Linked DNA regions of Struthio camelus. The protein of the gene in region 2 purifies or fractionates together with the protein of the main gene of each other region. This does not show direct contact. Links are inferred from orthologs where the notes say so. Each region holds a gene or a part of one and is shown on either strand. Other genes may lie near its edges. The genes, in order: ELAVL1 and IGF2BP1.

Region 1 (15,686 bases), on a different chromosome or scaffold from region 2:
GTTCTAGACAGCATCAGACTGTTTGACCAGTCACTGCCTCTGGCTAATTTTTTTTGGCCTCAAAAAAAAAAAATCTGGAGACCAAGAACTGTGCTGGAAAGAAAACACTCAAGGAAAGAATGCCTCTCCTATGCACATATTTCCAGAAGATGAGAAGAGAGCACAAGAACAATGGTTTCCAGACACATTCTGACACCCCCCACTACGATTCAATTCATCCTTGGATTAGCAGCTGGTACTTCCACTTTGCTGGAACAGGAAGGCAAGAGAAGTAATGGAAGCAGACAGTATCAAACAGGTAGCACCAGCAGAACACAAATAGCTGGAAATCCATCTCTGAAGGCTTGACGAGGGGCCAACACTTGCTACTGCTCTCCTACAAGGAGGCCAAGGAAGCACTGGGTAAGAGGGAAGTTATTATTTATTTTCACTATGTCACTGCTACTAGCAATATGAGTAAAAAAAATGCACGCATGTGCACACACAAGAAAAGCAATCCTCTGTCTTCTCAGCATAGCTTATTTCTACCCTATCCCCCTCCTCAAAAAAGAAAAACAAGAACAAAAGAAGCTTAAAAATATATTTTTGCATACATCACCTACATATAATGAGGTTGTATAATCAAATGTATCATTTAAGCCAGCAGTTTGAAGCTTGCAGGTACCTAGATCAGAGAATTGCAGTTCAATCAGGAAAAATGCCCTGACCAATTTTTAGTAGAAAGCAAAATTTAACACCTCTCTTATGCTGGGACCATGTCATAGCTTCCAAATGCTTAAATTAGAGGGAAGCTAATTTCCTTGCTTTTTCTATAGAGCTAAGAGATAGCTGTGGGTTTTTTTGTTTTTTTTGTTTTTTTGTTTTTTTGCATTTCCAAATATCTTTAAGTGTGCAAGTACAGCAAGCTTGAGGTTTTTTTTAACTAGCAAACAGTCTGTCATCTTTACAAGTAGCTTATCCACAAGACACACACTCCATGCAATATCTAATAACATTTTACTGTAATCAATTCACAGAGGCCTTGTGACAAACAAGCAACAAACATTAAAGAGACCAACCCTTCAGGAACAAAGCAGGCTCATGTAAGGGCTTAAAGAAACAGATTTTAAAAGAAAAATCAACATGTCACTGGCAGGTCAAGAGATTTTTTTCAGGAGAAAATAAGTAACAGAATATGCAAGAAATAGCAAGTAGAAAATAGAGTGCTTGAACTAGGAGCTTAGGTCACAGCTCATGGTAAGCTGACATCAACAACTAGCCAAATTCAACAAAAGCGATCAAGTTAAGAAAGATGTTATATACAATATTGGTATTTCCACTTAGACTGTTCTTAATACTACTACTATTGCTCCCACAAACCTGGCACTGCATGAGACATCCCACATGGGAAAGCAGTATAACCACATTTATCCCACTCATATCAGGGCTAAATAACTAAAGTCAAGAATTCACTATACAATATACTTAACCACAACACCAGCTTAAGATGTCCCTGTTCTCATTCCAACCAAATTGAGTGGATAGCATACTGCAGGGGCAGGTAATAGGAGTTCTTTAAGTCAGAACTGCTGAACACTTTTAAACATGAAGCCACACAACTCATTTGCAGCATCACACAAGCACTTATACTGCTTCAAAACCAAATCTAGCATGGCCATAGAGTAACGCAGCATGCTGCACAGACTCAGAAGGCTCAGGGAATTAGGCTTTACTATCACATGGTACAGACACCCCTCCCCCCCACACCCAAGAGTCACTGGAAGTCCAAGAGTTGATGAAAACGTCTCATATAGGCTTGATAAAGCATACAGAATATAGACATTACCCCATTTTTAAAGAGAGGGGCATGGGTCTGCAAGAACTCTGTTCACATACATCTAGAAAGGAAAGTAGTTCAAACATGAGTAGTGGGGGACAGCAGACTGCTAAAGAGGCAGGAGTTGTAAAACATGAGCTATCAACATCCACGTTCATGGCATAAAATGAAAGAGAAAAAGGAGGAGAAATACAGAGATCAAGAGAAGTGCTCAATTATGTCAGTAGCCAGTTACATTAATAAGAAGTACTAGTAAGAGGTATTAATAAATTAATCTCTATCCTTCTTAGTTGTTCCCTCCCTTATTTTCCCACAGGCATCTCAATATGTGGATCACAGGATCCAAGCTATAAGCCCTTCATGGAATTAAACGTTTCCCTTCTCAGCAAACTTCAGATATAGGCCTCTGCCTTTATAGATAAGGCTACTCCACTGCCCAACATTACAGAATATGGTCATCAGCATACTCACCTCTGTACAAATTATTCCACCACAGCTCAGTGGTCCTTTCTCCAGGCTACCTCTGCACACACTCTTTTCACACACATCCTCCCACTGAATGCTGCCCTAACGCATTCTTGCCTCTTTCAATCGCCAAGTAGAGTAAGTGCTCTACTTTGAAAAACCTCTCACCAGCACTAACAATAGTGGGATACTACTTTAGTTGTGACTTCTTCTGGCCAAAGGCAGTTAACATAGCATTTCCTAACCTTGTTCTTAGCAGGCCAAAATTAGCGTTGATGTTAGTAAGTGCTGTCCACATTAGGAAGCCCACCCTCAGATACTGCCAATCAATAAAAATGCACCAGTCTTATCGAAGGTGGGAGATTTAAAATATCTACTGCAGACACACACAAAATAAATATAAAGGACAACAAGCATTAACCGGAAGAACAACTCCTCCAAGACAAGGTATAGACCCAGGCAGTGCATCTCCCACCTAGGGCCGGCTCCCTCAACAGTAGCCCCAGGCTTCGAGACCCACGGCCTCACCGCCCGCGAACACAGAGGCCTCAGGCCCCTCAGCCACCAGCCGGGGCCCATTCACCCCACACAGGCCCTCACCGCCCCACAGGCCCGGCCCCGCCGCCCCCAGGCCGCAGCCCCGGCTCGCTCGCCCGCCCCGGGCCCGCGCTCCCCCTGCGGCTGGCCCCTCCCACCCGCAGGCCCCGGCTCTCCCCCCGCAGGCCCAAGCCCAGGCCCAGGGCCAGGCCTTGGCCTCACTGGCGCGGCCCGCGAGGTCCGTTCCGGTCCGCTCCTGCCCCCACCGGCCCCGCGGCAGCCGCGTAGGGCTTCCCAGCCGCCCCCAGGCGGCCCGAGCCGGCCAGGCCTCACCTGTCGGCGGCTCGGCAGGGCCTGAGCAGCGGGAGGCTAACGGCTCCGCAGCGCGCACAACAAGCCGCTCGCAGCGCCGCTGGGCACGCCCACGCCCCGCCCGCCGAGCTCCATTGGCTGCGGCGCGCACGTGTCTGGCGCCCCGTTGGCCCGAAGGCCCGTCGGTCAAGCGCGGGCCGGGGAGGAGGAGCGCCGGGTGGGGGAGGGGCGCCGCCGGTCTGGCGCGGGGAGTCGGGCTCTGCGCGCCGCCGCGGGCCCGCCTGAGGCGAGGCGGGAGCCTGCGGCGGCGGCGGCGGCGCGCAGGGCCCGAGCCGGCCCGGCCGCAGGGGCAGGCGTGGGTGGAGGCGAGAGGGGGAGCTCCTGGCCGCGGGGGGCGGCGGGTGCCGGCGGCGTGGCTGGAGGGAGCCCCCACAGGGACGGCTCAGGGCTTCAGGCAGGGCCTGCCCGGAGCCTGCCGAGCTGGTGCTCCCCCAGCCTCGGCCTGCTCAGCTGGGCCTTGCTGAGGTGACTGCCAGGAGCTAGGGGAATGCGGGTCTTGCCTCCATTGATCCCCTTGTGCAAATCCTTCCACGCTGTGCTCCCACAGGGAGAAATACGAGTTTCTCCTTGTAGGAGAAGTTAGACTAGACTGGAGCAGCTAGCAAAAGCAGGACAGCCCCAGGCTCTGGGGTGTCTGCGGTCAGTGACTCCCCACTGGCTGGCCACCTCTCTCCGTGGATGTAGACACGGTGCCAGCTGCAGCAAAGAGAAACGGGAGCCTTGCTGAGCAATAGTGCAGAGGAATGCTTATGACTCTTGGTTAAGAGATTAAATTGTTCCTACGCAAATGAAATGCTAGAAATGCTCTATAGCGCAAGCTCTGGTGGTCAGCTCTTTTCTATGCTCTAGGAAGTTCTGCAATGATCTTAACTCTTCTCATCCCTCCATCCAGACCCAGCACATTTTTCGTAGTCAAGGGCATACCTATGCAAGGTATGGATACCTTGCATCCATACCTAATTCCACTGCACAGGCAGAGTCCTTGAATGTAAAATTCCACTGTTCTGCAGGAAACAAGTGTCTTTTTGTCATTAACATAGTACTGTGCAATAACACCCTTGGTACAAAACAGTTTGTTTTGTGCCTGACTCACTTGTGAATTTGCAAGACTTTGTAAATTCTGTATAACCTGACAAGATCTAAATTTGGGACTCAACTTTGAACAAATATTCCAAAAAGTAACACCAGGGTATTGCTGCACTAAAATGTGTAATGTTATTTTATCAAAGATAACTCATGAATTGGAGTTGTACTTAGCTGAGTAACATGACTCTAAAATCAAATTAATATACCTTTTTCTGGACTAGAAATAGTGAGATACAGTCTGAAGGATGGACGCTTGAGATACAATGGCAAAACCATATAGGGTATGTGTCCTTTGCCATTTCATTGCATGTATACATATGGAAATACTGTGTACCTAGTAATAATTACCCTGGAACACATGGAAAATCACACGCTCAGAATGTAAATATCTTTCCTCTACCTACCTTGACTTGGAACAGATGCCAATTTTGCCTCTGGCAAAGGCCTTGCATAGTAAATTCCCAGCATTGTTGCACTGATGGTATCTGGTTTTCTGTCCAGAAATCCGTTTCAGAAACCCTATCATGTGGTCCTGTTATAGGGCTGTTATATATGGGATGCTAATCTTCCATACAGGATGCCCAGGAACAAGCCAGTTTCTGCAATAGTATGGAGGACATGGTATCAAAGAGGAGGTGATGGGAACCATCATTAAATCAAGAGTCCATTGAAGAGGTTAACCATTAAGAGAAACGCTGGAGAGAGTTATTATTCATTTTCTTTTGTCTTTACCATAGCTTTCAGTGCCAGATGGGGAATCCTTATATGTAAATTCCAAGCCTGACAGGCCTGGAAATAACCTTCAAGGCCCCGTAAAATATTAAAGATGTTTGTGCATCTGTCATTTGCTCATGATGCTATGCATGCCAGCCACAATATCTCAATTTTGTCATTCACATCAATGGCAGCTTTCTGTTACTGTGTATCTTGCATTTTTCTTGTATCATTCAGTTTTTAATTAAGTGGCCCTGTTCTTAGGCCTAAGATAGGTCTCAGATTTCTAACTGAGGCTGTAGGCATGAAACTGCTGCACTGAGCTTTGATACTTTTATTCACAGCAGCACATATTCAATATAATTATTTCATTTATCATCATGAGCATTGTGTTATGGAAAACCATGATGACAATTGGGTGGTATTATCCTACTAACCTGTATGTCATTTTTTAAAGGAATGATCTCATTTTGCTGAAATGTATTCAATTTCTGTTGCCATGTTTCAGTTCATTGCGAAAATACATTGGTTTTCAAGTTTCACGATAACATAGAATTTCTTAAAATGTAAAGCGAGTTGTCCTGGTGAAGTCATTTTACGATGACGCAATGCAATGTCATCTGGCTCTTCACAGTATGTTCAGTCAGGCTAGTCGTTGATTTACATTGAAACATGAAAACCGAGTGCCAACCGAGTTATATTTGGTGATCCTGCAAGAGGTTTGTCGACTCGGTTCTTGCATATGGCAGGAAAATGAACAATGTGAAGTGAAGCACTGAAGTGACTGCCGCAAGGACAAACAGTTACAAACCGCCATGAGCAAATATCAGCTAGAAACTGCAGGTTACAAAAGGAGAAAGAGTGTTGCGGAGCCTTCTAAGAAACGTAACAGGGACAAAATGCCTCATTAGTTTTAAGATGGAGTTTAGTAGAGAATGTAAGAGCACTTTACCAGTAGGATCAGCAGTCCACCGGAAAGCAGGTCTGCTTGCTTTAGTCAAGTCACACTAACTACACAAAGCAGGCGTGTGAGCAGCCACAGCCCTTGTGGTTCGCTCTTCCGGCAGTGACTCATTTAAGAAGTTCGGCAGTGACTCATTTAAGGACTTCATGACCTGGATGGTGGCTCCAGACCGTTTTTTTGGAAGGCTCTGACAGACTTCTCCACAGATTCTTTTTATCCTGCCCTTTTAAGTAGCTTTCTTATTTTTATATCATTTTTGTCATTATGATAAAACGCTATAACTCTACTTTATCTTTTCCTTGACCACAAGAGTGGTCAATTGGGGTATACTAAAGTCATTTCATATATAGATATATAGGTATATCTATATATAAAATGACTATATATATATTACATAATATACTATATATATATTTATCTATCTTGAACAGATTTCTAGGTCCATTCAGGCATGTATTTCCAGGCATACTGATTAGTTGCTCCAGGAAGGCCCCATGAACGATGTTTAAAGTAGCACTTTGGCAGCCTGCTGCCACCCCTCTGCCTCCCTGCGGGGAGCCAGCGCCCACAGCTCAGACAGGGCACCACGCTGGCCTCACGGCATCCACCAGTGTCGGATGTCGAGAACAGGTGATTGATGTAACGACATCGATATAGCACATCAGTAATCAGCGGCCTAACGCTCGCTGCAGACGTGTCGCAGTTGTCTAAAAGCTCCGACCCTCCCCCCGGGGCCGCCTCCCCCCCGCGCCTCGCGCCCCCTGCGGGAGGGGCCCGCGCCATCACGTCCTCCCCCCCCCCCCCCCCCCGCGCCTCTCTGCAGTCGCTAAAATGGCGGCTGGGAGCTGCTAGGCGTCGCGCAGAGTGCCGCCCGGCCTTGGGGCAGGTAACCAGGGCCGGGGAAGTGGGCCGCCCCTCGCCGGTGCCGTCGCCGCTACGGCGCCGCCAGGCCCGCCCCGCCCCCACGGCCGGCCCCGCCCCGCCTCGCCGCTGCCGGAGCGACGCCGGCATGGCGGCTCCAGCGCTGCCCGCCCTCAGGGCGGCTAAAATGGCGGCGGGGCGCCCGCGCCCCCCCCCCCCCCCAAGCGGCCGGGCAGCTTGCCTCGGGGCTGGCTCTCGCCGAGGCTCCACCGCGGTCGCGGCGCTGCGCTGCGCTCGCCCCATCGCACCCTGGCGACGGACCGGGTCCCCCTGGGCCCGGGGTGCGCTGGGGGCTTCGGGCTCCAGGTGCTGGAGCTCCAGCTCCCTCTTCCGTCCTTTCTGCCTTGTGAAGTAACTAGCTCCTGAAAGGTGTCCTCACTTCTGCCCTCCCCTCCCTCTGTGATGGCCTTCTTCCTCCCTGCTGTGTTCAGTTTCTTTATCTTCCCCTTCCTCCCGTAGGGCATCGTATTTTTTTCAGACCTCTGTTTTCCCCTAAGAGCCCTTTTTCCACCCGTTCCGTTGTCTTCTCAGAGCTCCAGCCGCCAGTGTTATCTTCTGTTTCTTTGAACAAGCACCCCTGGCATTGTTCCAAGACTTTTGGGTACCTGACACCCCAGTTCTATCTCCTTGTGGCTTGTGGCCCCAGACAGCGATTTTGTTTGCCAGACTCAAGGGTAGCTGTATTGCTCCACCGTGAGCATCCTCCCAAACAATGCTTTCTGATTTCACTTTTCTTGTAGTTCCCCTTTGCTCCTTTCACTCCTTCTGGTGTTCTGTGGCTCTTGGGAATTTCTTGGTTCTTACCCAGTCATCATTCTTGAGGGTAGCTTCCTCCCCAGAGATCTGCTCTGATAATACCCACTTGTTCAGAGTGTTCTGTGCTCTCCAGAAGTTCCTTCTGGTTGTTTGTAGAAGGATGGAGTCGTATTTGGTATTTCCCTTTCTAGGAGTTACCTTCATTGTGGTTAGTTTTAAGTACCTGTTTCATTCTGCTAGTGCTGTCGTTTCACTTGTGAATTATGTCACGTGGGGCATATTCTGCTGTTCCTTGCACAGCAATAAGAGAAGCCCCCTTTAAATTTTCATTGAATTGTGAGTGGATTTCTCTGGCCTTTATTAGAGCAATGCAGAAAACAGTGGGAAAGCATTGGAGGGCTAGTGAGCTTTCAAGTGGAGAGCCTCTTTGCACTGAATAGTGGATGCATTGTCTGGTGGAACGTGCTACTTGAGGTTTCTCTGTGCCACTACAGTGAGGTACCAGACTTTTCAAATTAAACCTGTCACATTTAATGGCTTGGGGACAAGTGTGGATAACTTAAAATTCAATTTAAATTTGCAGGTAAATAAGCCCTTGTTGAAGGTTTTTCTCTTCCCATTTCTTTGATTTTGCTTTTCCTTTGTGCATTAACGGCCTCTGCAATTTTCTTCCCTATTTTTTGTACAGCAGTTACATTGTATGTTAGCCCGGTGTTTGAAAACATCTTAATGAAAGCTTAGTGAATAAAATACCTCCCTAGCGAAACAACAAAAACAGAGAAAGCAAAGTGGAAGCTTATCTGGTTGCCAGTAGTCCTTTTTATTTCAAGGTCGTTATTTATGAAGCTTGTGGTTTTGCATAGTCTTATACCAGCTTTGAATGATGTCACTGCTTGATATAGTGTTTATTTGTAGTATAGTTCTCTTTCCAGGAAGCGCTAACTATCTGTTGCAATTAAAATATAAAAGCATTGATGACCGTTTTTATGATCAATCTTACTTTATGATCAATCAATCTTACTATGTATCCCAATCTAAACAGAAGAAAATGTTTGGGAAGCACATGTCATATTTTATGACAAATCTGAATGCACATTTAAGTTGTGACGCTTAAGACAATCCCTTCTTAAAGCATAGTAACTTTTTGTGACTGCTGGTAGCATGCTTTCACGTGTTCATGTCTCTTGTTTATAGGAGCATAGTATTTAGCATTTTTATATTAAAGTAAATCACTGCATCTGCATATTGCTTACTAGTTGTAGCCTGTGCATGAGACCTCATTGCTTGCTGTAGCTTTGCTTAGCAGAGAAAATCAGGCTAAGCTTACTGAGTGACCACATCTTCTAATCTCAGTTTAATGTGAAAAACACTTTATCAGTCAAACTACCAATAAGAAAACATTAATTGCGTTTCTTACTATCTTTCAATCCCTGAAACTTCTTCAGGATTCTAAGCAAAATGAAAATGCATGGTAAGCGCTGTCTGAATTACTTTATTTTCCTTTCCTGGAAGGCTTGAGGAAGGTGCCTGCTTTTCTGTATTTTGGACGATTTGGCAAAGCATTGTACTCAAGTGCCCATGTGTGAACTAATGGTAGGGAGTTATGAGGAGTGGGATATATGGTTCAGGAATGGTGGTTTGCGAACAGCGTGTTAGTCTCAAGATTAAGTATTTATTACCACAAAAACAATACACATAAATATATTTGCTTATCTGTCCTTATATGGTTCAGATGTCTACAGTGATGTAACTGCCTCATTGAAGCCATGAGTTTGATTTAGATACTTCAGTAATGGTAAGTCCATTGACATTGCTGTCAAACTTGACACTGAGGTTATCTTTACTGGCACCAACAATAATTACAAAGCGTTCTGTGATTTTAATATTTGATATGAATGGTTTGCAGTCACTGACAGAGCTTTATGGTTTCAGAGCCTGTATTCTGGGTGACCTTAAATACAGAAACTATGGCAATATGGATGCCATAATTCCAAAATAATCTTATAGACTTTATGAAGTTATCAGTTGGCTTGAACGTTTACAGCACTTGTGCAAGCCTTACACATCTTCAGCAAGTTTGCTGATGATACTAAACTGGGGGGAGAGGCTAACACACTAGAAGACTGTGCTGCCATTCAGAGGGACCTGGATAGGCTGGAGAGGTGGGCAGAGAGGAACCTCCTGAAGTTCAACAAAGGCAAGTGCAGGGTCCTGCACCTAGGCAGGAATAATCCCCTGCACCAGTACAGGCTGGGGGTTGACCTGCTGGAAAGGAGCTCTGCAGAGAAGGAGCTGGGAGTGCTGGTGGACAACAAGTTAAGCATGAGGCAGCAGTGTGCCCTTGTGGCCAAGAAGGCCCATGGTATGCTGGGGTGCATTAGGCAGAGTGTTGCCAGCAGGTGGAGGGAGGTGATCCTGCCCCTCTCCTCAGCCCTGGCGAGGCCTCAGCTGGAGTACTGTGTCCCGTTCTGGGCTCCCCAGTACAAGAGAGACATGGCACTACTGGAGGGCTACCAAGATGATTAGAGGGCTGGAGCACCTCTCCTCTGAAGAAAGACTGCAAGGGCTGGGCCTGTTCAGCCTGGAGAAGAGAAGACTGAGAGGTGATCACATCAACGTGTACAAGTATCTGCAGGGGGAGTGTCAAGAGGATGAGGCCAGCCTCTTCTCCGTGGTGCCCAGCAACAGGACAAGAGGCAATGGGCAGAAACTGAACCACAGGAAGTTCCATCTGAACCTGAGAAAAAACTTCTTCACTGTGAGGGTGACAGAGCATTGGAACAGGTTGCCCAGAGAGGTGGTGGAGTCTCCTTCGCTGGAGATATTCCAAACCCGCCTGGATGTGATCCTGGGCAATATGCTCTAGGTGACCCTGCTTGAGCAGGGAGGTTGGACTAGATGATCTCCAGAGGTCCCTTCCAACCTAAACCATTCTGTGATTCTGAGTCTGTGATCTTGCCACCACCATGGAAGAAATACACGACAAAATAACTGCTATCAGACTTCAAGTATTTCATTCTTCAGGGGTATATTTCAGAACTCTAAGAGAGATTTTTGTAAAGATACAGGGCTTTACGGAGGAAAGTATGACTATACTTTTGTTAGTGAAAGCTTGAAACATCAAAGCTCTGTTGAATCTTGTGTTGTAGTAGCGTGAATCTGTTTAGGTCACCAAACTTTGTAGAAGGATTGAACATCATATCAGAATCACGGTTGAAAGATGTAAATGATGTGTTAAGCGTACCAGTCTGCAGCAAATGCTTAAAGTGAAGCAACGTGTAGCCTTGATCTGTTCTTATCCCCAAATATATAGAGTTTTACACTTTCCAGGTGAATGTTTCAGGTAATCTTGTAAACTTTATTACACCATGAAGCATGGGTTCTATCTTGAGGGATTGTGTCTTGGTTACCTTATCAAAGTGCCAGCAGATGTGTGGCCATCTAGCAGGATGATGGTTAGTTGTGGGCTTTTTTTGTTTTTGTTTTTAATACCAAGCTTACACTTTGTATATATTTACATGCTGAATGCTTCTCTGAATATGTGACAGTGGGATGTCTAAGGAAATGTTAGTAAAAAAAAAAATCTGCATTATCTGTGTCTTGTAAAGGTTTAATTTCAGAATTTCTAGTCATCTAGTCCCAAATATCTTGAGTGTTATAATAGTTAGGAAATAAGAGATACACAAGAGGTATCGCCAGCATAGTATCAAGAGCCCAAGCCCTGTCTTTCAAAAAATCTCTCCGAAAAGCAGCTTACAGATGCTGAAAATCACTGAAGTCAAAACTGGCCTGGGGGCAATTCACATACAATCTTTAGTTCAGACAGATCAGCCATCACAACCATGTGGGAGAGCTCTGTCAGGTATGACTGAAACCAATTCAGAATGGTCCTGGTCATACCCTGCATGGCCTTCAGATAACACCATAGCATTCCAGTATTGTCCTTATTAAAAGGTCCCCCCTGACAAGTTCACTGCAGCATGTATAAACGTAGGCTGCCTTACGTGAATGGAAAATTAGTTGTTCCATAACTGCTATCTACTGCCTTCTAACATGACATCTCAGAAGACAATACTGAATTTGTAGTTGTTTTAACCAAAAATCAACTGTAGACATTGGTGTTTTTTCTACTGACTGTATGATGTATTCTGGGACAGGATTCAGTATAGTTTGAACTGAATGAGCAGTAAGCTTCCTAAGAAAGAGTCTCTCTTTCTTGAATTAGTGATATTTCAGGCTTTAGGATCTACCCAATACTGACAGAGAATTTTTTCCCTATTTTGCAGGTTAAATTTGTGCATTCATTGCATTAAGATCTCTAGTAAACTACTTTTAAGATAATATTCTAAAGTGACTCCCAAAGATAGCACTGTGTAAAAATGTCAACGTGACTAAGCAATTTATCTTTGGTAAAGGTTACAAAACATTCACAGAGAAATAACTTTCCTTTTGAGAACAGGTGAACATTTAAATAAATAAATAAATAAAACCACCCACACAACCTGCAGTTCAAAGTTTTGATTTCTTACAAGAGCTAAACTTATAAAATGTTAAGTCAGGGCCATGATGTAGACTCGTTTTGTTTTGTTTTGTTTTGGTGGGGGGGTTATAACAGAATTCTGCTTCTGGTGAGGATGGGAAGCTGTTAGGTTTTTAACACTCGCAGCACGATGCTTTTGAATTCTATATATGTGAGTTCAATTTCCTTTCCTGTCCCATTCTCCAGATTTCTCTTCAGTATATTTTGCTTTTTTTTTTTTTTTTTTTTAACAAAGGATGATGGTTCTTGTTTCTCTCTCCATGCATGCACAGTGGAAAGAGTTTTGGAGACTAATGCTTGTAATTGTTACAGTAATATTAATATCCAGTTTTAGAAGGTCTCAATTTAATTGTTTGCTGTTATCCGTGGCCTTCCATTTTAATGGTTTCTGAAGGTGGAAGAAGTAAATAACTTTGTTAGCCTTGTTTCATCTTTTGAAATTAAATAACTAAACATGAAAGCAAGTGGAGTTATAAATTACTCAAACTTTGTAAATTTTTGACTCTTAAAAAAAAATGAAAAAAAAAAAAAACCTCTGGCTTGGATGTTGAAGTGAACCATGGCTTCAAAATAATATATGCGAAAGCAGTAGAGCTGTAGGAGAAGGAGGAATGCTCTTAACAGTTTTCCACACTTTAGGATGATTTGAAAAGACTTTTAGAGGAAGTTCTTGTCCATTATTCCACTGCATGAGGAAAATGTCATTTCAGGGATGTTGTTCTGTGAACTGTTACAACTAATGAACTTTTTGTTTTCCTTTGGTTTTCTCTGTGACTTAACAGTTTATTACAATGGGAAACTTATCTGCATTGTATGTCTCATACTCTACTTCATCTCTAATAACAAACTGAAATGTTGCACGCTGGTAAAATGTCTAAATACAAAAATTGTCTTGTAACCTAATAGCTTAAGGATATATGGAAAATAACTTATTCACTCTTGATAAATTCAAGTCTGAAACAAAACTTGCAAGATAGAAATTGAAAGGCTGTATTTCCTTTAACATATATGCTATGATAGCTTGTTCTCATTTCAGTTCAATGATAAAAGGATTTGTTTCCTTGTGACTAACTCAGTCAAGAGTTGACAGAGATCTGGTTTTAATGATTTCTTTAGTAACATACTTTCTTGCTTTTCTTGTTTGTTTTTTTTTTTTTAATCAAGTTTCTCTGCTTCTTGATAGAACAAGAGTCTACGTCTGTGTTGCTGGAAGGAGTAGGCTATCCTATTAGTGCAATATAGTGTTAGATGCAACAGTCACGTAGATAAAAATCCTTCTTTATAAAGCCCATGCACCATTCACGCAAGCATTTAGTACAAAGTTCGGAACCAAAATAACCTTTGCTTGTGTTGCTTGACATGGACCTGGGCAACGTGCTCTAGTTGGCCCTGCTTGGAGCAGGGGATTGGACTAGGTGCTCTCCAGAGGTCCCTGCCAGCTTCAGCCATTCTGTGATCTCCAGGCTGCTGTCTGTGTTCCTTTCTCAGAAACCACATTAGCATTTCCACGGTCTCTGTAGTTCTGTTTCTTTCTGTGTAATAGCATTTCTTCATCGCACAGGGATAATATGAGGGCATTAAATATTTAGACTGAGGCAAATGAGGATGTAAAATGTAGCAAAAACATAGCATACTCACATATTTGTCTTGAGCATCCTTTTCTGGACAAAGTTTGGAATGGCTGTTTCGTGCATACACAGAGACTGTTTCTAGTTTGTTGTTCAGGGGAGAAAAGTCATAGGGTTACAAGTGATAGAATTTTATCTAAAGGGAGGTACTTTTGCATTACCTGCTTAGTGATTTGAAGATTCTTTGTAAAGCTAAGCATGAAATCTCTGCGCTAGGTTTTATCTTGATGCGGATCAATGGTAAGGATGAGGATAATGTTAAAATGTAGTGCAGAGTTTTGAATGTGTCACATCTAGTCTACTTGACTTAGTCCTCTATTGTTTCTGAAAGGCTATGACACTTTATAGTGCTTAAATAGTTATTAATTAAATGGTAATAGTCTCATATTTGAAGACTGCTTTAGAGCAGATAATACTGATCACTGTCTTCACAGTGGTAATAGCATTTCTATATATTTAGATTATAAAATGTATAGGCATATACTGCATATGCAAATAAATGTTGGGCTCTGAAATGAATTACACAGTTAAGAGTAATATAAAAAATGAAAGCTTGAACTTAAACCAAACAATAGCATCCTTCAGGCACATTCTTAAATGTGTGTGTCATTGGAGAGCTCCCTCTCAGGGTGGTATGTTATGTGCTCCTTAAACGTTACTGCTGTAACTTTTAGCATGTTACACTTGCCTGATTTATACTTTGTCGGGCAAAGATGTAATAATGGACCGAGGAGTGAGATACATTGCTTAGGTGAATGAGATGTTTTAATAGTCCTACTCTGACTTAGTGCTGGATAAAAGCATGAGTATTTTTTGCCCATGGTACCAAAGGTAAAATTGTTTGTTGTTCATCATAGTGTGCAATCTGTGCTGCTGTCATTTTCTTAGGGACCTGTGTTCTGGCTTCTTCCTGTGGTTATCTTAACTCCAGTCTTCATCACTTGTGACCCTAACTTTGTAGCACAGACTTTGAACTGCAGCGTTAGTCAAAGCCTTCATACGTTGACTGTCTTGCAGGGTGTTAATAAAATGCAGTATGAGTGGATTCTGTGAATGGAAACGGGGTCTGTTAAGTAAAACTTTGTGCTCCTGTATATTTGTTTATATTTTTCATGTATTTCTTTTTTTTAGCAGTCAGCCAGCTATAGTTTAATTACATCCAGCCAGTGCAGCAAGCCATACAATACAGCGAACTCTTGCATGGCAAATCTTATGCTTCCACTCTCAGGCCAATACAGCTGTTACATCTGGAGCGCATCAAACACAGTGGGGACAGGACTCTGGTTATGGAAGTCAGCAGCAGCAGCCTATTCCCTAGCCTGTCATAACGCCAAGCTTACAAGTATTAATCCATGGGCACTTCCTGTTTTTTTTTGTTTTGTGTTTTTTAGTTGGTGACCTGTATTGATGGCATTTGCTCATGTTAATTGCACAGTAAAGATAGTAATGGTTAAAATTGTTTATTCTCTAATCTTTAATTGAAAAGCCTCAGTCATTACTACCTTCAGTTTTCTTTGTGCCTACGCATTTCATTTTGGCACTAGAATGCATTTCAGGCGACAGGATACTGAAAAGAAAACCCTGTTCTGCAACTTCCTCTGCTGCACAACAATTTAGTAGAGCTTTAATTCTCCCTTTTGAATAATAGGAGATATGCTCAGATAATTCAGTGGAAGTAATAGGCAATGTATGAGGACGAATAAATGCAAGCTTTGGGTCTAGTCTGTTGCACGTAATTCTCAGGGGCTCTTCACAGAGAATGTTTTGCCAGCAGTGCTCCATCTCTGGCAGTGGCTACATGATGTGTGTACAGTATTTTCTTTATTAAATTAACTTACCTGAATTTAGATCCTTGTGATACAGGTAAGCTTGCGCATATTGTACAGG
Region 2 (15,936 bases):
GATAAACAGCAAGTTGCTCCGCTCCGGTTACCGATGCCGCCTGCTTTTGCCCCCTTTTGCCAGCCACACCGATTTATCCCGCTCGAGGCTCTACGCAACAATCTCAATGCAACGTCCTCCACCGTGGGGATTTTATTACGAGTCCCGCTGGGGAAACTCCCGCGCGGAGGGCTCTGAAGGACGCCGGCGCGGGGAGCAAGAGCCGAAGGCGGAGAGAGGCGCCCCGAAGCCTCCGGCTCAAAGGCAGCGCCGGCGCGTCGGAGCCCGAGCGCTGCCACGCCGCGGCCATCGGCATCCCGCTGCGGAAACCCCTCGCGCATCTCCAAGAGCGGACTACGGCCACGGGACGCAAACTGGTTTCCGCCACCCTTCAGTAAGTTGTTATTCAATCAGAATAAGAAAACCGGCTTAAAAATAACATCTTACGTTAACTTTCCAACCAAGACAAACGCTTGTTTCACTGGGACACTGTCACGCAGTGTAAAACCAACGGCCAGTTTAGGTTTGAGACATTTTAAACAGAAGCACGGGGTAATTCGGATCGGGAGGGACACGCCGAGGCCACCCGCTCCGGCCCGCGGCGTTCCCAGCCCTTCCCCTGCGCACCGAGTCTCGAGGGCAGAAGGGCTCCAGGCTCCCCAAAAAACACGCAGCGCTGGTGATGGGAACGGACGGAGAGGTGCACGCGCAGTCTGGCAGGACTGACGGAAACAAGCCGCCGCGACCGCCGCCGCCGCCGCGACCGCCGCCGCTCCCCCTTCCCGGTCAGCCAGGACAAGCCAGCAACCTTCGGGGACACCCCACAAAAGGATTTCCTAGCTAAATCCACTAAAGGGTTGGCACGCTTGCCGGTAATCACAAGACAAGCTGGAAATAGAAGCGGCATAAAACAAAGCCCAAGTTTCTGCGCTGGGTAGAAACCCTCGTGGGTCCGGGAGGCCAGTTTCCAACCGGAAGAGGTTCGGGGAAAAAAAAAAGCTTTCCCGGTGCGCGGACCGTGCCGCAAGCGTCTCGGCGACGCTTCTCGCGCTCCTCCCCGCAACGGCCACAGCAGGGGCAGCGGGCTGCCTTAGGCTAGCCCCGGCTCTGATCCGTCCTTCGCCTATGCCTCCGTTGTTTTTTTAACGCTGTATAAACTTTGCCGGGCGAGTGCATTTTTCAAACACCCCAGCTGGCCGCCACAAGACCCTCCCCGGGCATTTGCATGCTCCGAATGGGGCAGAATTAGTATTTAAAGGTGCACAGAGACTCGGAGCCGTTAGCTAACGAGGAGCCTCGCAGCCAGGATGATGCGCAGATCCTGCACGCTTCTATTTCTGCCTTCCCCCCCCCCCCACCCTGCTTTATCCCTTGTTTTAGCTTTATCTGCTTGGCGGCCAGGAAACCCTTCTCACGCAGCGGCGGAAAGGGGCAGCTGGCGACGTGGATTAACACTTCTGCGAAGCGGGCGATTTAGGAGCGCCCACCTTAGGCTAAGCTTTTAAATGCCTCCGGTGACGTAGAGGAGGAGAGTTCTCGCTTAAAACTTTTGGAAAGCTTCTCTCATCAAACCAAAAAAAAAAAAACAGAAGGAAAAAAAACAACCTCCCCAACTTTTCTGGAAAGCTTTCTCCTCCGAAGGCGTTTGCAACCCCTGGGTTTGCTGCCCCCGTCGGCTCCCACCTCTCGCTCGCCCCGCTCCCGAAAGCCCCTCCGCCGAGCCGGGGGCACCGTTGGCAGGGGCAGGACGAGGAGCCGCTCGGCGGCAGGCACCTCGCATCCCTGCCGCCAGCAGGGCTGGAAAACGGGGCAAAAAGCGGGCGGGCGAGATTTAGCGACCCGGCTCCGAACGGGCAAAAGGGGCCGGGAGACTTTTGCCTCCTCCTTGAGTTGCGAAGCCCTGGGCTAACCTCGGGCCGAGCCGAGCAGCCTCTCGCGCTTCCTGAACTCTCCCAGACCCTCCTGGCAACTCTGGAAAACATTAACATTGCTGGGGTTTGGGCAGGGGGAGGGGGACGCGGTGGGCAGAAATCTTGCACGTTTCTGAATTCTGAAAGGTCTCGCTTTTCAAAGGGAGTACTTTAACCCCACTTCCCTTATCCGTATCTCTGGGGTTTGTTTGCTTGTTTCTTAACCTAAAAGGCAAAGACAGAAAGAAATTAAAGCGGAGAAGCGCACCGAGCCCTCGCAACGGCCAGGCGCGCCCTCCAGAGGGGCAGATTTCTTCTTTCCTTCTAAAATTAAAAGTCATCACACTCTTAGCAAAGAGGGACTCCCCTCCGCTGCTGGTGCAAAACTGGAGGCTACAAAGTTTGCACTTAAATTGCAACTTCTTTACCTACTTGCCAGCTGCAGCTGCTACTTGGAGAGGGGGACATCAAGGCATTTCGTCAACAGTCACTCCAGGCTGCAAGTTGCTAAGCATATTCTTTCCCCTGTGTTTATCAAAATTGGGCAGATTATCTCAGTTTTAAACCTAACTGACGCAGTTTACTCCAGGAGGACGTGACAATGACAAATTATTTCTACTTTTTTCTAGCTGGAAAGGCTCAAACTGTATTAATTTGCGAGTTATGCCAGTTCTCAGAGGTGTAAAATGAGTATTTAAAAAGTGCCTTTGAGTTAAGAGCTGGACATTCATGAAACAGATCTGAAAAGAACTACTAAGATTCTTGCTTTTTTTCTCTCTTAACAGAAAGACAATAACGAATGAAGTGATATCAAACTCAGCACTCTCAGAAAGTAGCTTTCATCCTGTGTTTCAATCTTCACACACTGTTGTGAACAAGAATGTTGCTAATTTTTAAAAGATACTGTAACTTCTCAAACAGACCTGTTCTGGGGGAAGCGAAGGATCTGAACAAAGGCTTAAAAACATATTTTGTCGCAGCATTTGAGACAGTGTCTTTATTTTACACAAAAAAGAACTACCTCATTTCTTTCGGCTCAATTTTCACAGAATGCACAGAATTCTAGGTAGGAAGGCGTATTTTCAAGTTAATACTTAAGAACAAAGAATTTACACTAGCTGTTATCAAAAGTTTTTAAATATTTCGTTATGAATAATTAATGCCAAGATTATGCACACACAAAAGACTGCTTCTGCAGTGTGCAAATGCATTAATTTGAAACAAAGCCTGAAAAAAAAGAAGTGGCAATTCAAGATTTATCCACCCAATTCTCTATATGCTACACTAAATCTTCTCATAATTAATAACATATAGTAATTCCCACTCCTGCCTGAGAGTTCACTGACTCTTCTAAACACACATGTTGTTTATGAATCGCCTCTGCTTCAAAATGCCCCGCACAAATCTTTTTAGTTTAAAGTATATTGGCTGTTATCAACCAAACTCACTATTTCCCCCCAATTACTTGGTTTCATTCTCTCTGGTCGACTCACTTCCACATTCCTCATATTTGGAATGTCTGCCTGATGGATTCACTTTTTTCCCCCCTTCACCCCTCCTCCTTTATTCATTCATTCATTCTTTTTAATGCTATCTGCTTAGGTCTTTTCAGTTTCAGAGAGGCTTAACCACCCCCCTAAAACCAGTTCTTAATCTTGAGGAGGAGAAGCTGAACTTACTTTTTTTAAAGGATCTTTTCTTCTTTAACCCTCTGAATCATAACACATGTAATAATTTTCAGGTTTGAATATATGTATGTATATATATATATATATATATATATATATATTCTTAGCTTTCCCCAAGTTTTTTCCATCAGCAAAGTTGCAGAAAAAAATAACTTCAAAAGAACAATGAGATGCTTCAAAAAAAAAAATCTAAACAAACTTTTAAAACTGAGGGGGTTTCTGAAGGATTCACTGCCAAGAACGAAGTGACATATTTACCAGCAGTTTCTTTTCTTTATGGTCAAATATTTCTAAAGTATTTCTTTAAAATGGTCGCCTATAACCATTAACAACATTTGCAGCCTTAAGTGTTATTTGAAGAATCCCTGTAATTAAACAGCCCTAAATCAGTTTATCATGCTTGCGCATTTTGGTGCGGCAACTACACACCAAGCATTCTTTCTGGTGCAACATTAACACATTCTCTACTTTTTAATTCATTTCTACGATGGGATCAGGGGCAAGAGAGATTTTAAAGAAGGAAATACACCAACATGCAACATCGATTTACAACAAATAGTTTTGTTGTAGCCATTCATTTCCAAGAAACATCCACACCAGTTTGACTGAGCATCATCATCTGCAGTTTCAAACACAAGAAACACAACCATCAAGCCAAATTTTTATTTTATAAATCATCTGGAAAGCACACAAATGAACACGTCTTGTTTTCCATATTTCTACACTACCCCCCCCCCAAAGAAAAAATTCATATCAGCTTGGGGAGGGGGAGGCATTTGTTTCAAATCACACCAAAAACATCTGATTTTGCCCTTACTACTCTTAATTAACCATTTCCTGTTCTGTGCAGTCTTGAAACTGGAAAATCCAGTCTTAAAAAACAAGTAGAAAGAAGAAAAGAAAAAAAAACCACACACACGCACAAAGTCTACTTAGACACAGAGGCAGTCCCAGCATCTCGGTCTTTATCCAAAAAAAAAAAAAAAAAAAAAAAAAGGGCAGGAGGGGGGAGAAGAGTAAAATACGACATCTCAGCCCCGAAAGCCTGCTTCGAGCTAACAACCTGCAAAGTTGCCCCCCCCCCCTTTCCCAAAATACAAACTCGCCTCCCGAAACCGAGACCAAGTAACTGCAGCCCCGAGCCCGGCCGGGCTCCAGGAGCCCCCCGGGAAGAGGGCGACCCAGCGCGAAGCCCCTTCTTGCCAGGGGGAAGCCCACGGAGACAGTCGACAGCAAAAATGGCTCCTATAGCTTTAAAGGCAGCGGATTTGGGGGGGGGGGGAGAAATATGTGGCTAAATTTAAAAAACACCCCCCAGCCCGGGATTTAGCAGCTCGACGGAATTAATTTCATTTCTCCTGGTTCTCATTAAAAACGAGCCAACTAACCTTCGGGTTCGATTCCACCTACCGTGGAGTTTGGACAACAGGGCGGCGGGTGGATATTTGGGAGGGGGGGGAAGGAGAGGGAGGGGAACTGCAGCCTCCAAAGAAATATTTACATTTCGAGATAATTTCCTAATAACGCAGGGGGAGAAAAGTCAGGGCAGGGCAGAGCGGAGCAGGCAAGACGGTGAAATCCGCTCCCTTCGGCCCAAGCTATCGATCATGGAGCCAGGCTACGGGGAGGGGGGGAACGGTGAGGCCCCCTTGGCCCAGCGTCACCCCCGTCCCCTCCGCGCCGTCACCGCCTTTCCCACAACACCGCTCCGCTCCGGGATATTTAAGCCACGGCGAGGTGTCGGCCGCCGTAAGGAGCAATATCGATCAGCTCGGCGCCAGGCAGGTCCCGTCGCTCCCAAATCTTTCCAGAGGCAAAATTACGGGATGGAGTTGGGGCTTCGAGTTAAACGAGCCGGACCCCGGGGTTGGAGGCCGAGGGGCTTTTAGCCTCCCCCCCCCTCCCAAAACCTTTCCCCCTCCCTGACCCCCAGCTCCGAGGGAGGGTTTGGGGCAAAGTTGTGAAGGCCAAGGCCTGGCGGCAGCCGCGGCAAGGCCCAGCCCGCACCAGGAAAATGGACTCCCCCGTGATCACGCCGGGGGATATATATATATATATATATATATTTATATATATAAATTTTTTTTTTTTTGGTCAATCGGAGGGAAGCAGCAAAGAGTTGAGGGAGAAGGAGTTTGCTGGGCTCGGCCTCCTCCCTGCCGGCCCCGCCGCTGAGGTAAGCGCCTCGTCACGTGGACCCGGGGGTCCCGGGGCCCGCGCCATCCAACGTGGACGAGTCGGCTGGGCCAGCCGCTCGCCTGCTCCCTGGCGCGGGGCGTTCGGTTGGGGGTACTCCCCTCCCCCCCCCAAATAAAAAAAAAGGAGGGGGGATTTATTCTTTATTTCTCTTTTTCAGCATTCCTGCCCCAAAACGGCTGGCAGCCCCCCCCCCCAAGCACACAACAAAGGGCCAAGAGCGCGGCGAGGCCGGAGGCCCAGGCCGGGCACGTGAGCCCGGGGCAGAGGCGAGGGGCTGCGCGGAGCTGGGCCCAGCCCGGGCCCCCCGCCTCGCCCGGCCTCGCCAGTCCCACCAGCACGTTTCCCCCTGGCCTTTCTTCTTTTTTTTAATTTTTTTTTTTTTTAAACTAAAGCGGAAAACAAAAGGCAGGCGCTTCCCAGCGAAGGAGAGGGGCAAGCTGCGGAAACGCGCCCGGCTGCACAAGTTTGCAAACCCAGACCCCAAAACCGCCTCGGCCGTGCCCGAGCTTGGGCGAGCGAGCGGCGGGGTCATTGTTTCGGCTAGGGTTTAAACTTGCTCTCAGAGTTAACTTCAAAAAAAAAAAAAAAAGAAAAAAAAGGAAGGAAATTTCAACATTGATCCTGCACGCTGACTCCCACCTCGCAGAGGACGGATCGGGAGCCAAATCGCCAACATATCTCCTTTCACATGCACATATTTGGGGATATTTTTTTTTGTCTCCTTTATCTTACGGCCTTTTTTTTTTTTTTCTCCTTTCCCCCCTCCCCAACAGCAAAGAAAAAAAAATTAACAAAAGAAAATAAAACGCTGTATTACCTTTGCTTTTTAGGCACTGAATGTTCAATCTCTAGCTGCTTTCCATGAAGCTCCACTTTCCCTAAAAACAAAATGTGTCTGGGTTTTTTTTTCTTTTCTTTTTTTTTTTTTTTACAATGGGGGGGGGCAACAAATAAAAGCCCTGGAGAACATGCTACCACGTGAAACCTTTCGTTTTCATTCCGAATTTACGGGGATCTACACGCAAACACGGCCGCCGGCTGCCCCGCGGGCGCGTTGTATGGGGCGGGAGCCCGGCGGGAGGGGGCGGCCAGCGGCCGCCTGGACACCCCGTTGCCCCCTTCCCACCGCTCCGCTCCGCTCCGCGCGGGAGAAAACGGAGAGGGATATTCGGAGAGGGATTTCTTCGCCTTTATTCAAAGCCTCGTGTTGAATTCCCGCGGAATTCCTCGTTTTAGGGGTGTTTGGGGTTTTTTTTCCTTCCCCCCCCCCTTTCCCCTTCTCCCCTCCCCACCCAAAGGCTCCGAGTCGTTCACGGCAGAAACGGATCTCTCGCTTTTGAAAAACGGGGTGGTTTCTTTGCGGCTGGTTTATTTGGGGCGGGGGAGGGAGGGGGGGTTGGGGAGAGGGGCTCGGGTATGGGAAGAGCTCGGCGGGAGAGCTGGGCGGGGGGAGGGGGGGGAAAGAAAAAAAGGAGGAAGAAAAAATCGAAATTTCAAAAAAAATAAAAATAATGATAATAATAATAAAGAGCCGAGCTGCTTCCCCGGGAGCTTTTTCTCTCCGTGCGAGCAGCATGGCGACCTTCGCGCTACTCCGCGCATCACATGCCCCAGCCAAGGCAGTTTCAAATCAAAATGGCCAAAGTCCCAGCCCACCGCCCGCGCTGCCGCCGGGACCCCCGGGCCGAGCCCCGGCGGGGCGGGCGCCGCGCTGCCGCCGCCGCCGCCGCGCCCGGCCCGGGGGCGCCCACGGGGGCCCGGCCGGGGTGGGTGTGTGTGGGGGGGGGGTGGGCAGGGAGAGGCCCCCGCCTCGTTTCACCCTTCCGCTAGCTGCTTTTGGGTGGAGAAAAGGGGGTCGCCCCCCCCCCTCCCCAGCCTGCGGGGGCCCCCGCGCTGATGCAAGCGCCGTCGGGGGGAGGGGGAACAAGGGGCTGCCCGGCGGCAGGATGCGGGGTCGGGGAAGGGGGGCAGCAAGCGGGTGGGGGGGGGGGGAAAGGGGAGAGAGGGGAGGGGGGCGAGGCCGCTTACCCGAAAAAGTTTCGATGGCTTTCATGGCCCACTGCTCGTCGGGGCAGTCCACAAAGGCATAGCCGGACTTGACCAGGAACTGCCCGCTGAAGGAGATCTTGTGCTCGTTGAAGACTTTCTCCAAGTCGGCGGCGGTGACGCTCTCGTTGAGGTTGCCGATGTAGAGCTTGTTCATGGTGGCGGGGGGCGGCGGCGGGGGGGGGGGGCGGCCGGGCTCGCAGCGCGCCTCGCCGGGCGCCTCCACCGAGCGCCCGCGCCGTCGGGCTCCGGCCGCGCGCTGCCGCCCCGCCGCCGGGCGCCTTCGGGGCTGCGGGGGGGGGGGGGTTTCCCTCCCCCTCTCTCCCTCTTTTTTTTTTTTTTTTTTGGTTAATAATCCAGGGGGGATTATTTCCCGGTGCGGGGGGGGGGGGGGGGGGAAAGGAAAGCAAGCCGGGGGGAGGTGGGGGGCGCGGCGGCGGGGCGCGCTGCTCCGACGGGCGGCGGCGCCGGCTCCGGGGGCCCCCAAGTCGGCCGAGTGGCACTCGAGTGTCACCGGACGCCTCTCGGCAGCCGGGCACCGCCTCTAAATAAAACCGACCTGGAAAATGAGTGAAAATGTTTGCTGGAGGAAGCCACGTGGTGATGCGGGAGGGCCCGGCCCCCGGGGGGAGGGGCCGGGGGGGAGGGGGCCCAGCCGCCGCCACTTATTTATTTATTTTAATTTAAATACTACGGTATTTACCTCCACCCCCCCCACCACCACCCTGCGGGGAGGGGTGCGCACCCACCCCGCACCCCTCCCCAGCGCCGTCCCGTCGGAGGCACTTTTGCCATCTGCTGCTGCAGCCCCCCGCCCCCACCGCGCCCCTCCCCCCCGGCGCCCCTCCCCCCCCCACGCCGGCCCCCGGTGCCTCAATGGGATTTTTCTGGGTGTAAAAAAAAAAAAAAAAAAAACAACTTCAGTATCAAAGGGGCCGCGAGGGTCCCCTGGCGCCAGGGCTGGGGGGGGGGGCGGGCCGCCCCCCCGGGGCTGCGCGCCCCCGGCGGGAGGATGGGCCCCGGCATTGTTTTAAGCGCTTGGTGCGCGGCCCCGCGGAAGCCCCCGGGCTGCGGGGAAGGAGGGGGGGGGGGATGGCTCCTCCCGGCACAAAAGGGCCCCGCGCTGGGGCAGGGCCTTTCCCCGACGGCAAAGCGGCGTGTGCGGGGCAGCCCCCCCCCTTCCCTCCCCGCCTAGCCTTTTCTGGAGACTTTTTATTTTTAGGCTCGAGATGGGTTGAAAATAGCAGCGAGCCCCCCCCCCTCCCTCCCCATCCCCCCCGCTACCGTCCTCCGCCCCCAGCCTCCTTCCTGCCTTCCCCCCGACGGGGCGGGCGGCTCGGCAGCGCGGCGGCGGGCAGGGGCGGCCCCGGCTCCCCCCGCCGCCGCCGCGGAGGCTCCGTCCGGCCTTTCCGCGCTCCCGATGAAAACGCGCAGCAAGGCAGCTCGCTCCCACGTGCTGGGCGGCCCAGACGGGGGGCACCACCCCCCCCCCAAAAAAATATATATCTATATATTAAAATTCCCGCAAGGCGTGCGCGCTGTTCCGGCGCCGGGAGAGCCCCGCGGAGGGCGCGCCCGGCGCGGGGGGGCAGCGGCGCTGCCGCGCTCCCTTCCCCCCTCCGCGGGGCGCCCGGTTACGTCTCCGATATTTTTTTTTATTTTCGATTTTTTTTTTCTTTCTTCCCCCCCCCCGCCCCCCGCCCCTTGCTCAGCTGCGTGGAGGGTTTGTTAGTAAATAAAGCCGAGGTCGCTCAGAAATGGGCGAGTTGCGCGGGTCCGAGGAAGCAGGCGCGCGTAGCCCCGGACGCCCGCCTGCGCTGCAGCCCCCCCGGGCGTCTCGTTCACGCGAACGGCAAAAAAAAAAAAAACCCCTCTGCCAAACGCTCATTTAAAGCCCGGAGCAGTCCGCTTTCCCTCCCGGCTCTGAACCGCTCTCTGCTACGCTGCTCCTGCAGCGTGTGGATGCTGCTCACCAGGGCAAGTCTGGTTTCCATCCTTCCAGCTGCGTTATTTGGCTCTCCTAGAAGTACCAAACCGGCGCAGCCAGAGGAGGCTTTCTGTGTCCACGGGCAGGTTTCTAAGGCTTCCGGCGTGTCACCCACGCTCAAAAGTCACAGACGAAAAGGAGAGAGCGATGCAATTTGGAAATAAATCTCCTGCAGCTCAGACAGCGCGCTTCGCACCCTCGCGGGCTGAAACCTGGGACGTTCACGGGCTTCCACCGCGCTGCGCGTCGCGGGCAAACAAGTCAAAATAAATGAGCCCCTATCTGCCTCGCCTCTGTTTCTAATCTTGACCCTAATACTGCTGTTGCCGCTGTTTATTGGTTAACCGAGCACCTTGCCCGTGTAACATAACCCTTTGCAATAATGAAATCAAGGAAACCAGCCTTAAAAAAAAAAAAAAGCACCAAACAAAGAGGGAAGTCTTCAATTTAGGTCTGAAACAAGAAAGACTATCAGTCAAGCTCCTTCCCCTCGGTGGAGCGTTCCAGATGCAAGGTATTTAGGGAATGCAAACAGCAGAGGCTCCATCATTGATTTGCTGCCCCCCCCCAACCCCGTTCACGGCTGGGGCAGGGTGGGAGGGGGCTGCCCGGCCGGGCCCCCCGCCCCCGGCAGCTGGGGCTCGCCGAGCCCCCCGCAAGGGCGACCGCGCTGCTCCTGCAGACGTCAGGCTCGGCAGCAGCTGCCGAGCCCCAACCGGTCAGGAGCGCTGCAGCCCGGGCGCTGCTAAGCTGCAGTTTCCCCCGGGATGCTGTCAGCTCGGGGAGCCTGCGTGGCCTTCTCCCTTCCCCAGGATTTCCTTAAATTTCTTGGCGAAATCGCTCCGAGCGGCTGGCCGCTTCGCGTGGGCTTACAAACGGTGTCCCGCTCCGGCGTCGGCATAAATTTATTCCTGACTTTAGACGTAAGATCTGATTTTGGCAAAAGGTTGGTTGGTTGTTTTTTCCCTTAGATATAAATCCCTGAAGCAGGTAGGAAAGCGCTCACAGAGAACTGACAATTTCTCCACAACTCAGAAAAGCGATTGTTGCCGCGTGGGTGCTCAGAAAAATTGGTTGGAGTACAAAGTTGAACGGGAGGGGCGAGCAGCGCGTTTGAGGTTTTAATGAAACGTGGGCTTCGTACAAAGGGGCGAAATTCCTGCCGTCTGCTCAAGTGCTGCTGGTGCTCTGACTCAGAAAATACCTAAAACAGAAATAATCTTTATGACAGATTAGTGGTAAACTAGAACAGATTATAATCTGTAATTTTTCTGCCAGTTGTCATTTGAATCTTTCTTTAATTTGTTTTTTTTTTTAATCTCTAGTGCTGTCACTTATGTTTAATTTTAAGAAAATTAAAGGTGTATTTAAAAACCCCAGAAACTCTGGAAATTCTTCAGTTTCAAGAGTTTGAAAGTATCTGTTGATTACTATCAAATAAACGTGTGCTGAAAGTTTTCGGTAAAATACATAGGTCATACAGCAAAAAAATAAGAATTTAATGTTTGCAGAATCTGTTTCAATTAGCTCTCAGCTAGCAGAAATCATCTGAGCTCAGAGCAAGCCTGAGCATAAAACACAGGTGAGAATTCAACAGAATAAGAAGAGCGAGCAATGCAGTGGGGAAATATTTCCTCTTAGTGAAGTGGAATCACAGTTTAAACCCCTTTTTGTTCCCTTTTTATTATGTGGAAAACATTCACCACTGGAAAAAAGAAGCTCCCGTCCGAGAAGGTCCCGCCGATTCCAGGCTGTGCTGCCAAATTTGTTAAGAATCAAACTGATTGGGAAATTAACAGTTTGCTTCGAAACAAAATTCAGCATTGCGCTGGATTTGGGACAATCCCCGGATTCCCTGCGCGCTTGCAGGGCGGTTTTTGCTTCTGCCTGCGGCTTGGTCGAGGCGGAGGAGGACGGGGCAGCGGCCGCGCCAGCGAGGCGCTGCGGGCGGGCTGCGAAATGCCCCTCTGCTCCCGGCCGGGGCGCCTCTGCCAGCACCGGGCGCGAGGCTCAAGAGCAGCAGAGCTGACGTTGCAAACGGTTAAACCTGCAACTTTCTTCGACGTTTGGATATTTCCTAAACATTTTAGTGCTTCAGTTACAAACAAAGCAAATACTCCGATGAACCCCGGCTTAAAAAAATCAACTCGCATCTTGGAGAATCCTTTGGCTGTGCTGCTAAAAGTTGGCGTCTCCTTAAAACAAAAACAAGAGAAAACCGCAGGCAAACAGCTATTTTCTTCTCCTCTCTACTTTGTGAGCATTTGCTATCGCTGCGCTCGCTGCGGCGCGGGGCGGGCAGCTTTGGTTAGGTCTCCGGATGGTTGCACGTTCCAGGTCTCCTAGAGCAGAAAACTGAATCCTCTGTTTGGGCTTGTGCACATGCAATGAACTGTTCAGACTGAAACAAAACAAGGCTGCTTGGCATCCAAATTTTTTCATAATGGCGATGGTCTTGTTCACTTGGGGGGCTGCAGCCCGTTTCTTTGCGTAGGCGGGAAATTCAAGATGCAAGGAAAGAAAAAAGCTTATTGGAAAGAGCCCCATAATTGTGTTGTTAGTCCCTTCAATTTTCACTTTTCCCCCAAATTAATATGTAGCAGCTCCCTTCCAGCACACCTTCCTAAGCTGTAAGTTTACAGTTTTTCTTGCTCAAAATCACTTGCAAAGAGTTGGACGGATAGTGGTAGCAGCCGTTCTTCCCGTGGGTGGCTTGAGCGATGGTGGAAAGTTTTGGTCTTAGTACAACGATAAACTAAATTAATGCAGTTCAAAAAGCATCTTGGAGGATGGACTTCTGCCGCTGCTGAACTCCCCCTGACCTTATTTCACGTAGGAGCTGATCTCCTGGACCCCTCTCCAACCATTCTCCGCACTTACAAAGCGCTGATTAAATGTTTTCCTTCCAGTGACTTCAGGTATTTGTATCAGATTTCCTTCAGGCTGAAATGAACGCTTTTAGATGAGATTTATACGACATGAGCACGAATCTGGGGGCCCTATAATTGCAAGTCGCCACTTAAATTCCCCACGGGACGGAGGGTTTGCCACCGCGTCCTGCTCTTCTTGCCTCCGCTTTTCAAACTCCCTGCAGCGCGAGGCAGCGAAAGGCTCAGTCATTAATGCCTTTCCATTTTCGTCTCATTCATCGTACCCAAAACGACTGTATCCGGGGAGGTGGCAAACTGTGCAGCAAGTTTGCTGCTGTGGGTCACTTTAAAAGTATAGGTCATTTCACAATCTAAACCTTGAACGATACCCCCAGCCTGCGCCGTGGCACTCGCACTGCTGGGCTGCGGGGAAAGTGATGGTAGGAGAGCGGCAAGGGCACGGGCTGGAAATAATTTCGCGTTACTGAACCGGCCACTTGGGCAGACGCCTTCCCGTGGACTGTGCTGTCTAGTTTCTCGTCCTGCTGGTACATACTTGGGATTTATCGGGACTGATTATTTCCTCTCCTTGCCTGCAGCTCCACCGCTCTAATCTCTCCAGCTGTTTAGTTCTGGCTCTATCTTTGCTCCAAGAGGGAATAAAGTGTGTTTTTCACATCAAGGTAGCTGTCGCAAGGTAAAGTGCTAAAAGGACACAGCACAGGTAGCTTGAAGGCGATAGCAAGCCGAGATCATCTTTACGCCCTCACGAAGCAGCGACAGCATTCAGCTACGCAGAGGTAAAAGCTGGGCTGGCGGGGTTTGTACACCGGCGTGGTTCTGTGGTCAAAGTACATCTTTAATGCATTGAAGTTACAGCCTCTACCATGGGCTTTTTGTTACGCCAGTTACTGTGCTATATGCTGTAGGTCCCTGCTCCCAGGGGGGTATATGCTCTGCATTAAAAAAAAAAAAAAAGCGCAGAGTGGAATATGGAGAAGACTAGTGTTTTGTGGTTCCTGGTTTTGGGGGTTTTTTAATTTTGGTTTTTTTTTTTTTGTGTGATTCTTCAAAAGAAATGGCAACCAGGGAGGATCTGAAACAGCCATACCAGTGAGCTGACTTAGTCAAGAACAACCGCTGGAGCCTTAAAAGGCCCTAGGGTTTGTTTGCAGCTAAAAGGGAGTATTGGCATTTAAAGACATATCTGGTATTTAGCCATTGTAAAAAAACCTGTTCCATCCCTGCAAGCACTGGAGGGAAAGGCAGGTTTGAGTCCAAAAGAGAGGCTGAAGCGATGTTCTTCACTGCAAAGCTTTCCCCTAAATCAAGGCAGACCGTCCTCGTGCAGCTCGGTTTGAACGCCGGATGGGTTCAAGCACCAGGGATGGGATCAGGAGCCAGGCAAATCCTCGCTGCCTTCAGCTAGAGCGGAAGCTGAGTCCTGGCAGCGGGGAGCAGATGGGTGCTTTCCCCATCCCGACAGCCCAAACCCCTGGTGCTTGAGACATAGAAGACCCACCTGGGTTAGCCGAGGCTGCGAGCGGACAGCCAGTCCGCAGGCAGCCCGGGGAGGAGAGCGGAGGCTGGGCTGCAGAGCCGGGGGTTGGGATAAAGATGTTGGTATTTAGAGAATTAGTGCCCAGCCAAGATGCAACAGGATAAGTGAGAAAAAAGCACACGAGGGTTACTTACAGCTCCTCTACAACATGCCATTGCTGGTATTTTAGGGAGAGAAATAGCCCCAAAGAAAGCCTTGAGCCTCTTCGCCAGCAGCAAAGCTGCCTTGAGAGCAGACTTGGTGCTGAGCGAGGAGCAGAGTCTGAAAGGTGCTCGGACGCTCGCCATCTCAGAGAGCGGACGGGGATGAAAAACAACACAAAAAATCCCTCCTTCCTCTCTCCCCGTGATTTGAGGAGTAGAACAAATGCCAATGCTGAGCGACCAGAGCTGGATACGATTAGGAACGGCGGCAGCTCAACCGCCCCGGCGACCCCCCCGCCGGCGCAGGCAGCGGTGCTCTCACCTGGCACCCGCAGCCGCTGAAACGCCCTGGCAGAACGGCGGTGCCCTAAGGGGAGCCCTGCCAAACAGGCGCCAGGCAGCCCTGCTCCGGGCAGAAAGGGAAACCGTTGTTCACCGCATCCACTGGGAACAGGACAGCGGCGCTGAGGAAGGCGAGATGTCAGAGCTAAACACTGTAAGAGATTTCTTGGGAAGTTTGCAGCACACTTTTAGGAGCGGATTAGACTTTTGGCCGTTCAATACGATTTAAGCAGAGTTGATTCTATCTGGAAGGAGGAGAATGAATAGATGACCTGCTAAGGTCACTCCCAGCCCTGTTTTCTGTGATTACGGAGACATCTAATACTTGAAATGCTTTGAAATCAAAGTTGCCCTTGAGATGTTTTGGTGTCCCAAAGCAGACCAGAAGGGCTGTTTCAGGAACACAGCTGTGATCTTCCCAAAGTATTTCCAAATTCCTGAAACACTGACTCCTCAGGTCAGGTCTATCGCTGAGAAGCGGAGCGCCGAGCGACCGCGTGGTTGCGGAGGGTGAAACAGGGCAGCCGCAGCTCTCCTCACTCTCCTACCTGGTTTGCAGGGAGACAAACGTCAACGCTCCGGCTGGGTGAAACCTAAAGGGGGGACCCAGCTGAAGCCTGTGAAATGAGTCCTGTTAGGAGAGAAGGCAGCAGCCCACGAATAATGCGACGGGGGAAGCGTTGCGGTAGCTCTGATGGTCGGAGGCTAGGGAAGGGCAAGGTCTGCGTCTTTAGTTAGCGCCTCTGTTACGCTGGAAAAAGCACACGTGGGTATGTGGCCCTTCTTCGGGCTAGCGCTTCACTCTTAGCCTCTCGACTTTGCAGACCTGAACTGGCAGGCAAAGCTTAACTATTTTAGGCATTGATCTGTGGATATCACACAGACCAAATGAAATGCAGGCAACACCACGTCTCCTTGGAAATACTTCTGTATATCTGTTTGGGTGGGTTTTTTTCCTTTTTGTTTGAAAGGTTGTGAGAAATTTCAGAGCAACGCTGCAGTCCAAATTGGATCATGAGCAGACGCCCTGAAATAACCGTAACTGTGAACACTAGGTCAACATTTAAGGTTGCTGGATATTTATTTCACTCTATTAACTTTACATCCAACGGAGGCACTTAATGAGGGGAAAACAAATAGGGTGCGCTTTGGAGAAACAAGGTATCTGAGTTGGCTGGGAGTGAAGTACCCAGAATACATATAATAAAGCA

What was found.
Region 1: the proteins of IGF2BP1 (region 2) and ELAVL1 purify together in Homo sapiens (co-immunoprecipitation; 3 studies listed by BioGRID and IntAct, with this or other methods). This does not show direct contact. The link is inferred for Struthio camelus from reciprocal best matches to the Homo sapiens genes IGF2BP1 and ELAVL1.

Annotation. Positions count from the first base shown.
Region 1 is NC_090967.1:510,878-526,563, reverse strand, and holds the start of ELAVL1 (ELAV-like protein 1), read right to left. Parts: upstream 7,254-15,686; 5' UTR 7,057-7,253; intron 6,841-7,056; exon of another isoform or gene 6,768-6,840; intron 6,064-6,767; exon of another isoform or gene 5,943-6,063; intron 4,876-5,942; 5' UTR 4,681-4,875; intron 3,325-4,680; exon of another isoform or gene 3,152-3,324; intron 1-3,151. UniProt on the Homo sapiens protein: RNA-binding protein that binds to the 3'-UTR region of mRNAs and increases their stability.
Region 2 is NC_090966.1:5,257,792-5,273,727, forward strand, and holds the start of IGF2BP1 (insulin-like growth factor 2 mRNA-binding protein 1), read right to left. Parts: upstream 8,068-15,936; 5' UTR 7,980-8,067; coding exon 7,805-7,979; intron 6,655-7,804; coding exon 6,594-6,654; intron 1-6,593. UniProt on the Homo sapiens protein: RNA-binding factor that recruits target transcripts to cytoplasmic protein-RNA complexes (mRNPs). This transcript 'caging' into mRNPs allows mRNA transport and transient storage.